Rhinolophus ferrumequinum: one gene and its partners. The protein of the gene in region 2 interacts with the protein of the main gene of each other region in a pairwise test. Links are inferred from orthologs where the notes say so. Each region holds a gene or a part of one and is shown on either strand. Other genes may lie near its edges.

Region 1 (3,746 bases), on a different chromosome or scaffold from region 2:
TTTTCTCTGGACTGTGTGGGTTCCCCAGAAATGACTCTCCCACCATCCACCATGTAGATAGAGCTGAAGCTCTTACAGCTTTCTCCAGTATTCTCCCACCCGTCATATTTTAGGTCTCCCCTCCCGGGAGGTGGCTGATTTTCAAGCTTTCTGAAGTTCTGCAGCATAAGGCTGGTGGTACTTCCGTCTACTTCGTCCAGTAGCAACTCATTATCTGAATTGCCATAAGTCAGTAACAGCTCTTGCATCCCCACCTGGGTTCAAAATACCATTGTAACTGCCTCCTCTTTCACCATTCTCCTCATCAACCCACAGGATGTGTTTTAAACTCTGGTTTCAGTGGGCTTCTGAACCAAGTGAGAAGCATGTATTCAGTTCACCATCTTGACCCAGAAAGCCCAGGGACACTTACACTCACAGCTTGTTCAGGGTTAAGAACAGCCAGTCTGGCAGTACAGGGCCCAACATACCACAGAGGTTTGGGGGAAAGTAACTTAGGGGGAAGTTGGGTGCTCAAGACATGGGTGAAGGAAGGTGCTTATGGTTGCTGTTCCCACAGGAACAGGGTGGAGGCCACTGACCAGTCCTGGATATTGGGAGGGGTGGATTGGTGGAAGAACAGAGAACCAGGGCCTTACCCAAGAGGAGCTCAAGGAAAACAGGAGGCGGCTGGTCAGTAGACAGGAAAGGGCATCAGGCCCAGCATGAGTGGTCTGGAGGGCTCAGGGTGGAAACTGGGCTCCCATGTGTGTCCCAAGTGCAGAAAAGGTTGCATGTGATTCTGGGTACCCACTTGCAGTTTGACAGATGTTTTTGTTCCTGAATCCTATGGGTCCCCAGAAAAGTCCTCAGCAGGGTGAGGGTGTCTGCATTACACAGCTGTGCAGACTGAGGTGGATGTGACATGTTCAAGGCTGCCCCATGGAAGACAGCCTGCGGAAAGGTGAGGGTGTCGACCAGAGCAGAGCAGAGAGGATGAGTCCAGGAAGGGCGGACTATGGCTCAAGGGCCCACAGGGTACCAGGAGGCCTGGCTCGGAGGACCTGCCCTTGAAGGGTCTTGGGGAGCTGGGTCCTGCATGACTCCTCTCCATACCTCCAAGTCTGCCCTCCTTGTAGGAACTTGTGAGGTTCCTGGGGAAGATAGGTCCTGCTGGAAGGTGGGGGAGTAGGGAGATCATGTCTGTGCTCACTCTGTATGGCAGATGGCTGTGAGGTCTTGGTTGTGATGGCCCCTGACTCAGATTCCACAGCTTGAATCCACAAAGGCCCAACTCCTACTAGACCTACCCAGGTCTCCTGCGGCCCCTCACCCACCTCTGGCTGCCAAGGGGACACAGGTATCCCAACCCCTCAGGGCCACAGACAGGCTGCATCTCTTCCCTGTGGCTTCTCAAAGGGACCCAGGTTGAAGCCAAGTCCCCACAGCTCTGTGACAATGATATGCCCTGAGGGCACGTCTGCACTGTGCTAGGGTGAAATCAGGCTGTTACCATTCACACGTTTTTAAAAAGAAACCTTTATCAGGGAGCCTCTCTGGACTCGGGTGGGAAGGGAGGCTGAAGCTGTGGAATTCCACAGCGCTGTGCAAGAATTTACAATATATGCCCGTTCCAAGTTGTAACTTCGTCTTTTTTTTCCCAGTAAAAAGACCATTAACTTCCCTAGACATGAGGCCAAAGTCAAAATGGGCCTCAGTCTGCTAAGGGCCACAGGAAGTAAACTGGGCACCCACGCACCTGTCTACCTCAGTGTTCCCGCTGTGTGGAGGTGTCACACTGAGCGGGGATCTCAGGAGGGCACCTCATATGGGCAGAGAACAGGTAGGCATGTGGCCCCTGGGCCCTGCAGAAATGAGCAGCCCTATCTTGTGTCCTCTGAACCTGTCACTTCAGTCACCTCCTGTCAGGACAGTGGGGTGTAAAGGCTCCTATCAAGTTGACTTTGGTAATAGGACATGGAAATGCTGAGGCTTGGATGAGAATTGGAACGACTGTGGTTAGGGAGCCATCATTCTCCATCTGTCTTTCCCCTGCGGACCTCCACCTCCTATGGGTCAGCCATGCTCAGGGAGCCAGGCCAGGCCTCACTCAGCCCTCACAGCGAGCTGATTAGAGCGTAGGTGTGCAGTGGTAAGTTGTCTGGATGCCAGGCCTGGCTGTACTGTGTGCAATTCACACCCCTTCTCTGTGCCTCTGTGCCTCAGTTTCCTCCTACGAGAAGTGGGGATACCAGCCACAGCAGCCACCTCACAGGGGCTGGCACTTGGCACATGTTGGCCTTATCAAGAGCCTGTCTGTCAGGGTATGGCAAATACCCTCTGTAGGATGAAATCCCTTTTTTCTCTTTCTTTCCCCCAGAGGAGGAAGCTGAGGCTCAGAGCCCAGCCATTTACCCAGGGCCAGCACCCAACCCCCCACATGACCTCTCGTCCACTGGGCCAGCTCCCAGGAAGCCTTGGATGAATCCAGACCTGGGGGTAATATCCTGAATGTGTAAAAAATTTCTCGGCCTGCCTCCACTCCATCCCGGCACTGCCCTCCTCTTAGTGTTCAGTCACGACATGAGAGCAGTGGCGCCGCCCTGCTGTCCTGCCACTGGCTCTGCAATGTTTCAGCCTCACCAAAGTCCCAGCCTCCATCTCCCTCCTCCTGACCTTTCCGCAGCCTGACCTCTTGGGGATGGAGTCAGCTGTGGCTGAAGTGGCAAATCCTGTCACCACATACAGATGGAATTGCAGAGTGCGCACAGAGCTTCTCCAGAGTGTGGATTTTCAAAGGACACGGCCCGTTAGCTGTGGAAAGGACTCAGGAGAGATCGGAAACAGGGGAGCTGGGACCTCAGGCCTCAGCTGGCTTCGGCACGGTGGCTGGGCCTGAGCTGGAAGTGGGCCTGGCTTCCCTCCCAGGCGTGCCAGCTGAGGGTGCCTCCGGAGGCTTGGCCTGGGAGCTCAGGCCGGCCGTGGCCCTGAGCCTCCGCATGGGTTTCTCGCCCGTGTGGATCCTCTGGTGGTGGAAGAGAGCCGGGCGCTCGCGGAAGGCGCGGCCGCACTGTGCGCACACGAACGGCTTCTCACCTGTGTGGATGCGCCGGTGGCTGAGCAGCACGGCACCCTTGGCGAAGGCCTTGCCGCAGTCCCCGCAGCGGAAGGGCCGCTCTCCCGTGTGCAACAGCTGATGCTGCGTGAGGTTGGAGCTGTGGCTGAAGGCGCGGCCGCACTGCGCGCAAGTGAAGGGCTTCTCGCCCGTGTGCACGCGCTGGTGCTTAAAGAGTGAGGAGCCCTGGCTGAAGGCGGCCCCACAGAGCGCGCAGGCATACGGCTTCTCGCCTGTGTGCGTGCGCTCGTGCTGAATCAGGTGCGAGTTGCGGCAGAAGCGGCGGCCGCACCGCGCGCAGGCATAGGGCCGCCCGCCCGCATGGATCTTGCGGTGCTGGCTGAGGTTGGAGCCGTGGCTGAAGGCCTTGCCACACTCGCCGCAACGGAAGGCCTTCTCAGCCGTGTGGATGCGCTGGTGTCTCACAAGCGAAGAGCTGTGCCGGAAGGCCTTGCCGCAGGCCGTGCACGCGTAGGGCGTCTCACCGCTGTGGATGCGCTGGTGCTGCGTCAGGTGCGATGTCTGGCTGAAGGCCTTGCCGCACTGCCCGCACTCGTAGGGCCGCTCCCCGGTGTGCGTGCGCAAGTGCTTGAGCAGGTCGGAGCTCTTCACGAAGACTTTGTTGCACGCCCTGCACTCGAAGGTCTTCTCT
Region 2 (3,746 bases):
TTGAGTTCTCTATGTACCTGGCAGTCAGCATCCTAGGATTAGGTGGGGATACTGCAGTGAACAAGACACAAGTTCTCTGCCCTTATGGGACTTACAGACAAAAACAAAAGAAAACGAAACAAAACACAGGGTGAGATGATGCTGCAAAGGATGCCGGGAGGAAAGGTGGGCAGTGAGACTGAGGACGCTGGGCCATGGTGAGCCTAAGCTGAGGTCAGATAGGGAAGGTAGGGAACAGACCACAGGGGGCCATGCAGGTGGATGTAGAGTTTTTATGTCATACTTAAGGCAGCGGGGATCCATTGAAGGCGTTTAAATAGGGAATGAAGTAGTTTGATTTACGTTATTAAATGATCACTCAGCAACTGTTTTATGGCATAAAATGTCCAGCCTGAAGTCAGAAGATGACCGTGCATTCTGCAAATTCAATGTTAGATCATTGCCAAAGCTCTAACATGTCTCATCTTGTTTCCCTAATAGATAAATTGGTTAAAATAAAGCTCTGTAGCTTAGCCAGTGGGAGCCAAAGGCTGGAGTCATGCTTTGGTTTCAAATTCTGCTTCCCATTTAATAGTTAATGAGCTCTTGGCAGGTTATTTACTTCTGCCTTAGTTATTTCAGCTGTGAAATGGGGATAATAAGTGGCTCCATCATAGGTTTTTGTGAAGATTAGTAACAATACACGTAAAGCATGGTGATGGTGCATGGCACAATGTAGTAAGCATTCATAAATATTACCTTTTATTACTTCTTTCAGAGGATTACTGTGAAGACGACATGAGAAAATGCATGTGAAAGGGTTTGTGAAACCGAACAGACTATCCTAACGGCAGAATTCTCTTTCTTTTCCTTGCCTTTTAAGCGGAACACAGAACATTGGGCTATCTGAGGAGAGAGGCACGAGGCCAAGCCAAACCTCAAAGCGGTCATTGTCGTTAGGCAGCCCCTCCCCCACCCGGAGCGCATCTCCATGGCAACGTGGGGCTTCGCCTCTCCCCGCCTCCTGGGGCCCGCAGACCGGAAGCAGCCCGCGCAGGGGGCTTCTGGGAAACTGCTTGTGAGCGGCGTTTCTGCGTCTGCCCTGGACAGCGAAGCTGCTAAGGTTCCTGAGCCGGAGGTTTGCGCCAGACTGAGGTAAAACCGTGACGGGGACGCTGGGCTAGGGGTTGCGGGCTGCTTGGCAGCAGCCAGCGAAGAAACCTGGCAGGTACCTTCCTCGGGTCCCCGGGAGGTGCGGCGCACAGGCCACGGTCTCGGCGCCCAGCAGTTGCGGGGCGTGAAGGGGCAGACGAAAGGCCAGCTCGGGCTTTGGGCACCCTCGGAGAGTTCTCCATCCTGTGTCCTCCGCGACCCTCGCCTTCCCCCTCCCCCATCTGCCGGTTTTGTTCTATTTCGAGGCGCTGGCGTCTCGCGGAGAGTTCTGGGACTCGTTTCGGGAGGAGGTGGGAGAGGGCGGGCCCTGCGCGGGAGCTGCCGGAACTTGTAGTTCCCCGGGCTGCGGACGGAAGTGCAGTGTCCCCGACGTTGTTGTGGCAGGGTGGCCTTTGGTCATCTGAAATACTCCGCCGCTACTGCGGAGAAGAGAGTTCGGGGGACGTCGGGGCGGGGACAGAGTTCGCAGCGGAACTCTGCAGGAGTGAGGTGGGGAGATGTGGAACGAGGCTGCCCACCCAAACACTGTCAGGACCGCGGGCCTGCCCTCCCGGCACCTCCTTCCCGTCCTTTGATCAGAGTGCGGGATAAGAACATAGAAGAGATTTCTTTCATATAGAATGCTTGAGCCATTGCGAAGGTAGCGTTCTGGAATAGGAAGGAACGAATCTGTTGGCTGAATCCTATTTGTAAGGCCACATTCCAGAGTAACCTTGTATGTGATACCTGCCTGATAAGATCTTTTCTGATCCCTGGTCTTCATCTGGATAGGATTACAGTTAAGTTTTTTTGAAATTAGTGGTTTTCACATTCTGGGCCCTGAACAGATAAATTGAGTAGCTGCATGTCTCATTCTTAATATGTGTTGTAAACAGTGCCACTGGCATGACTGTGCAAATAACTAAGGGAAGCATCAGAAGTAGCACAAGGTTTTCCCTGAAGGTAGAAGCTGGGAAAACTGTGAGTCATCTAGTATAAGGACAAGATTCAGGTCCACTGTAAGAAGTTACGGTGGTTGTGAGAGTCTCTTTTCTACGTAGAATTTGTGGTCATTAATGCCTGTAATGATAAGTTTAAATGTAGTTAAGGTGTGGGTGACTATAATATTTGCATTGTATGGCTCCGGGAGGCTAATTTTTTCCAACATTATGTTATCTTTTCCTGAGCAAGTGAATACTTTTTCACATATATTTTAAGTCTAGGGAGTTCTTAAACATTTAAAAATATCTTTCCACTTTAAAAAACACATTTGGTCTTAAAAATGTTTTCCTTAAGCAGATAATAAAAAAGTGTCCTTGTTTTTGAGTTGACCTAAGGTTGGCTGGGAACGCCAGTCTTGAATTGCAAATAAGGTGTTCCAGGGTCGAATGCATTTAGAAAACTCTGAGGTGGGCTGGTTCTTAACTTGGATTCTTTTGGTTATTGAAATAAGGTTTATTGCTTTTGTAGGTCAAACTTTAAAGGGCCAGATAGTAAATATTAGGTTTTTTAGGCCAGATAGTCTCTGTTACAACTACACAACTCTGCCACTGTGGTGTGAATTGTGAACAAATAAATAAAATTATTTGTGGACATTTTAATTTCATATTTTCACATGTCATGAAGTATTCTTTTGATTTTGTTTTCAACCATGTAAAAATGAGAAAACTATTCTTAATACAAGCATTGTACAAAAACAGGCAGCAGGCCAGATTTGGCCATGGGCTGTAGTTTGCCAACTTCTGGTGTAGGTTATTGATTGGAATTTTTAAACCAGTAAAAGAAGAAATATTTTTACTTCCTTTATTAGCATGTATCCAAATTCTTAGGATATTTGGTCATTTATAAATATATGTTTTTGTACCTCAGGAGAGACTGTGAAGAAAAGGAGTTATTTCCCAGAAGCCTGTATCCTGCCTTATCTTTTTTTGAAGTGTTATAAATCAGGATGTCTGCACAGTCAGTGGAAGAAGATTCAATACTTATCATCCCAACACCGGATGAAGATGAAAAAATTCTGAGAGTGAAGTTGGAGGAGGATCCTGATGGCGAAGAGGGATCAAGTATCCCCTGGAACCATCTCCCTGACCCAGAGGTTTTTCGACAGCGATTCAGGCAGTTTGGATACCAGGATTCGCCAGGGCCCCGTGAAGCTGTTAGCCAGCTTCGAGAACTTTGCCGTCTGTGGCTCAGGCCAGAGACCCACACAAAAGAACAAATCCTGGAGCTGGTGGTGCTGGAGCAATTTGTTGCCATCTTGCCCAAGGAGCTGCAGACTTGGGTTCGAGAGCATCATCCAGAGAATGGAGAGGAGGCAGTGACGGTGCTGGAGGACTTAGAGAGTGAACTAGATGACCCTGGACAGCCGGTGAGCCTGCTTGTGTCACTTTTCCTGGGTGAGAAGCACTCACATAGCAGTGGGCAAGGCTGCTTGAAACAACTCCGCTCAACTACAGTATATGTTTTGTATGGTTTCTCTTATGTGTGTTTAGCTCTAATTTTCATAAAATTCCTCATCAACTGAATCAAATCTTGTTATTTCCAGGTTTCCCTCCGTCGACGAAAACGGGAAGTGCTAGTTGAGGAGATTGTATCTCAAGAAGAAGCTCAGGGAT
Region 3 (3,746 bases), on a different chromosome or scaffold from region 2:
CTTTGAGTGAGTACACAACAAAGCATCTGGTAGGATAGGGTTCCACAGCAGAGAAGTTAAGCAAAAGCTACTGTGATGGCCTGAGACAGGAAAGAACAGGTTAAGATATTGGCTCTATCTGTCTTTCTGTAATTAACGATAATATCACATTATCTTTGGTGGATGTTCCAAGCCAATAACCGAGTGGGATTCACCCTCAAATTAATATTTTATATTCTTCTAGAGCCTATACATTATACCTGAAATACATGTCAGCCTGGATTTCTGGGATAATTTCTCGACAATTTCTGAGTGAGGGGAAAAAAATGTGCTGCAGTAATTCTTAAAACTACCTTCCATCAGCACCTGCCTTCACTGGGCAAATAGTGACACATAGGATGGAATAGATGAGCTCCCTTCAGTGTGTGCCTGTTGTGCTATGAGGTTAGGGTGTTTCCATTTTCTAATATTAGTGGAAAAGCACAAACTTTGAAAAGAGCAAACTTCCTTTAGGGCACCAAAACCTCCAGATTTATCTTCTAATAAAAAGATTAGTGACTAAGTTCTGCTATTTGAAAAGGCATTAGGCACCAATTCATCCAATTCACTTACTGCGTTACTGTGGTCTTGCTCAGGCTCTGAAAACTCCAGAGCTAAGTTGTAATTCTAGGTTTGTAAAAAAAAAAAGTGAGAAAACCACCCTTTAAACCCAGTGTCTGTGCATATATATATAATTTTTCTCCTGAGAACTTAAGGAAGCTGGGTTTTGTTAGAACAAACCTAGCTCCTTATAGAAATGGTGTCTGAACCTTCAAGATTGAAGAGTGATGTTTATATTCTCATTGGATCATGGTACTTCCTGTGTTTTATGAGAACACGCTGAGCTTTTATGCTGGTAACTGAGGGTAAAACCCAGGTATATAAACACCACAGAAGGCTGAAACTGGAGTGGGGGCGGGGGAGGGGAGAACTTCAATCAGGAAAGCACAATTCTTTTAAAGCAGGAAAAGAAAAGAAAACAAAACAAAACAAATGCCTCTTAAAAGCACAAATGGACAAGTCATTAACCAGCTCCTTTGGTCTGTGTAACAAATCCCTTCAAAGGATTAGATGGGGGACTTCAAAGGAATAAAATTTCTCAAAACCAGACAGCTAATGAATCTTAAAAGGGCATTTGTGCTGACGGGAAAATATCTTAAACAACCCTTTCTCCCCCTGTTAACACCAAGGAATGAGCTGGAGGTAGATAGGTTGGGAATAGGGAAACACTTCAAACCAGTAAGAGGCTCAGGAAACAAATGCGGCAAGCGGTCGTTAGAGCTCTGGCTCCCTGACTCCTTGTAGACTGTGATAAAAGATGTAAGACTCGGCTCCCCAGAAAAATTCACCTATACACAAAATGTGCACTAACTTTCGAGGTTTACAAGGACCCCATCGGTGGACTCCGAGGGGAGGGGGGACATGCACCCAGATTAACTCCGGATTTAGCTGCTCTAAAGTCTCTGCAGGCCAAAGCGAGCTCCGAGGTGGACGCTCGCAGCCCTCATCCGCCCGTCTTTGACTGTGCTGGCGACTGCTCAACCAGCGGGCCGGGAAGGGGGCCGGTGGGGACTCAGGGTGAATCCACTTGGAATGTCCCCCTGTCCAAGACCAGATGGACAAAGAGAAAGGGGGCTGAGAACAAGCTTCGTGGGGAAAAAGGGGAAGAATCAAGCCCTGAACGCTCTCGGGACGGCACCTACGCGCCTCCGAGCTCCCCGCTGTGCCTGCTCCCCTGTAAACTTTCTGGCCCGCGGCGGCTTTTGGGAGTGTTCCAGGTAGCCCAGAGGGGCCCACAGAGGCGCCGGGCTGACCTCCTCTCCCTGCCGCCTGCCGCCGAGCCACTCTCCCAGTGCCCCTGGAGTCACCCGCAAGCCAGGGGGAGCCCCGCGCAAGGCGGAGTGAGCCAAGGGCACGCTGCGGGCGCGCACCTGGAGCCTTCTAGCTGGCCGCCGGCGCCACCCTGCTGCCCCGGGGCGCGAGGCCGTGGACGCGGTGGGTGGCAGGGGCAGGAGCGCCACACTTACTCAGACGGGTCCAAGCTCTTCCTCTCGATGGCCGAGGACATTGGGGAGGGAGGTGGCGTGCCAGGCGGCGGAGGCGCTCCCTTTGTGGCGCAGGGCTGGCCGGCTGCCGGGGCTCGGACCCCCTCCGGTGCTCGGGCGCCGCCGCCGCCGCCGCTCTTGCACCTCCTCTTGCTCTGGCGCTCTGGCGGCGAGCTCGCCCCTCCGCGATCAAGGACAGTCACCGCGCTCCCTTCAAACGCCAAAGAGAGAGAGCGAATCACCGAGCTGCCGGCGCGCCGCGGCCGAGGCGGGGAACCGGGCGCGCAGCCTGGCCCGGGGCGGCTGCAGCAGCAGCAGCAGCAGCTGCTGCTCAGGACTTAACCTTCCATCCCGGTCCCGCCGCCGCCACCCGGTCCAGCTCGGCTCGGCTCGGCTCGCGCGCTGTCCCCGGCGACGCGCCGCCCGCGGGGATGGTGCGCGCCCGCCCGGCCGCCCCTCGCCCCTCGCACCTTCAGCCCGGGTCGCGGCGCGCAGCTCGCCGCAGAGGGCAAGGAGGGGGCGGCGGCCTGGGGGCGGGGAGGGGACCTTGCCTCTCTCCCCGGCTCCCTCCTCTCTCGGGAAGGTCTATTTTCGCTCAGCTTCCCTCTGTCTCTGGTTTCATTTCCTTTTTCCTGATCACGATTCAAATACAATAGAAGGAAATCACATTTAAAGAGACAGCTGCCCGGTCCCCCCCCTCCCTTTTTTTCTTCCTTTTTTTTTTTTTTAAACGGGGCTCCTGGGGATTTGCAATACAAACAGTAGCAGCAGCAGCAGGACAGACTTGGCTTCTTAAAGGGGCCCGCGTCGGGGACGGGGAGAGTCGCTCAGTGAACACCTCTCCTTGGAGAGGCGGCTGGGTTGCCTCTAAATCAATTCTCAGGGCTTCCCCTCTTCGGCGTTTCCCTTTTGGCTAACTAAGACTGAAAGTAACAAGCGGGCCGCTCAGGGAAGAAAGAAAAGACAAGAATGTGAAATAAGCACATACAGAAATGCAAGCGTTCCGAATGGCTTTCGCGCGCGTCCGGGGTTCGAGGTCCCAGGTCCGCCGACGCGGTGCGCGGGGATGCCCGGGACAGCGCGGCTCTGCTGGCTGCGGGCTTGTGACTGCGTGCGCGCTCTAGACAGGCGGCTGGAACTGTGCGAGCAGGGACCACACGGGCTGGGTACGCCAGAGCAGTGTCAGGGCAGCTAATCCCGGAGGGAGGGTGGTTGGGAGGGACCAAGCTGTTCTGAGTCTCCTTTCCATCTGCTGGCAGCAGAATTCCCTCCCTCAGCATCTTTTAAAAATCGGACTCCTGCGGTTAAACCGGCCCCCTATAAAGTGCCAGTAATACTCTGCACAGAGAAAGTGCCTTTCCAATGATCAAGAGCAATGATCAAGAGACTATTTTGCCTCGGGTCAGGGAAAGGGAAGAAGCCAGACTTGATTTTGAAGTTCAGGTTTCCCCTCCAACCTCAGGGAGAAATTCTAGGAAGAGGCAGAAATGCAGAAGGGGAGAAGATGAGGCCAATAGTCTGCTCTCTGTTAGAGAAAAACTTTGGGTCCCTTGGGCCTCATCAGAGTTCCTTGAAAATGATCACATTCAGAAATTATTATTAAATGCCTATTTGTACATGACACCAGTCACAAATCTTGTAAAGAGGAAACTACCAAGCACTTTCAGAATCCATAGTTTTTTT

The links.
Region 1: the proteins of ZNF24 (region 2) and ZNF446 interact in binary tests that used the Homo sapiens proteins (3 or more experiments, as listed by UniProt). The link is inferred for Rhinolophus ferrumequinum from reciprocal best matches to the Homo sapiens genes ZNF24 and ZNF446.
Region 3: the proteins of ZNF24 (region 2) and LMO2 interact in binary tests that used the Homo sapiens proteins (3 or more experiments, as listed by UniProt). The two-hybrid records come from large-scale screens. The link is inferred for Rhinolophus ferrumequinum from reciprocal best matches to the Homo sapiens genes ZNF24 and LMO2.

The regions. Positions count from the first base shown.
Region 1 is NC_046298.1:50,937,371-50,941,116, reverse strand, and holds the start of ZNF446 (zinc finger protein 446), read right to left. Parts: upstream 2,255-3,746; 5' UTR 1-2,254. Other genes in the region: zinc finger protein 324A, read right to left, coding at 2,840-3,746. UniProt on the Homo sapiens protein: May be involved in transcriptional regulation.
Region 2 is NC_046302.1:29,354,421-29,358,166, reverse strand, and holds the start of ZNF24 (zinc finger protein 24), read left to right. Parts: upstream 1-985; 5' UTR 986-1,134; intron 1,135-3,000; 5' UTR 3,001-3,079; coding exon 3,080-3,499; intron 3,500-3,676; coding exon 3,677-3,746. UniProt on the Homo sapiens protein: Transcription factor required for myelination of differentiated oligodendrocytes. Required for the conversion of oligodendrocytes from the premyelinating to the myelinating state.
Region 3 is NC_046294.1:23,930,809-23,934,554, reverse strand, and holds the start of LMO2 (rhombotin-2), read right to left. Parts: upstream 2,692-3,746; 5' UTR 2,414-2,691; coding exon 2,407-2,413; intron 2,275-2,406; coding exon 2,046-2,274; intron 1-2,045. UniProt on the Homo sapiens protein: Acts with TAL1/SCL to regulate red blood cell development. Also acts with LDB1 to maintain erythroid precursors in an immature state.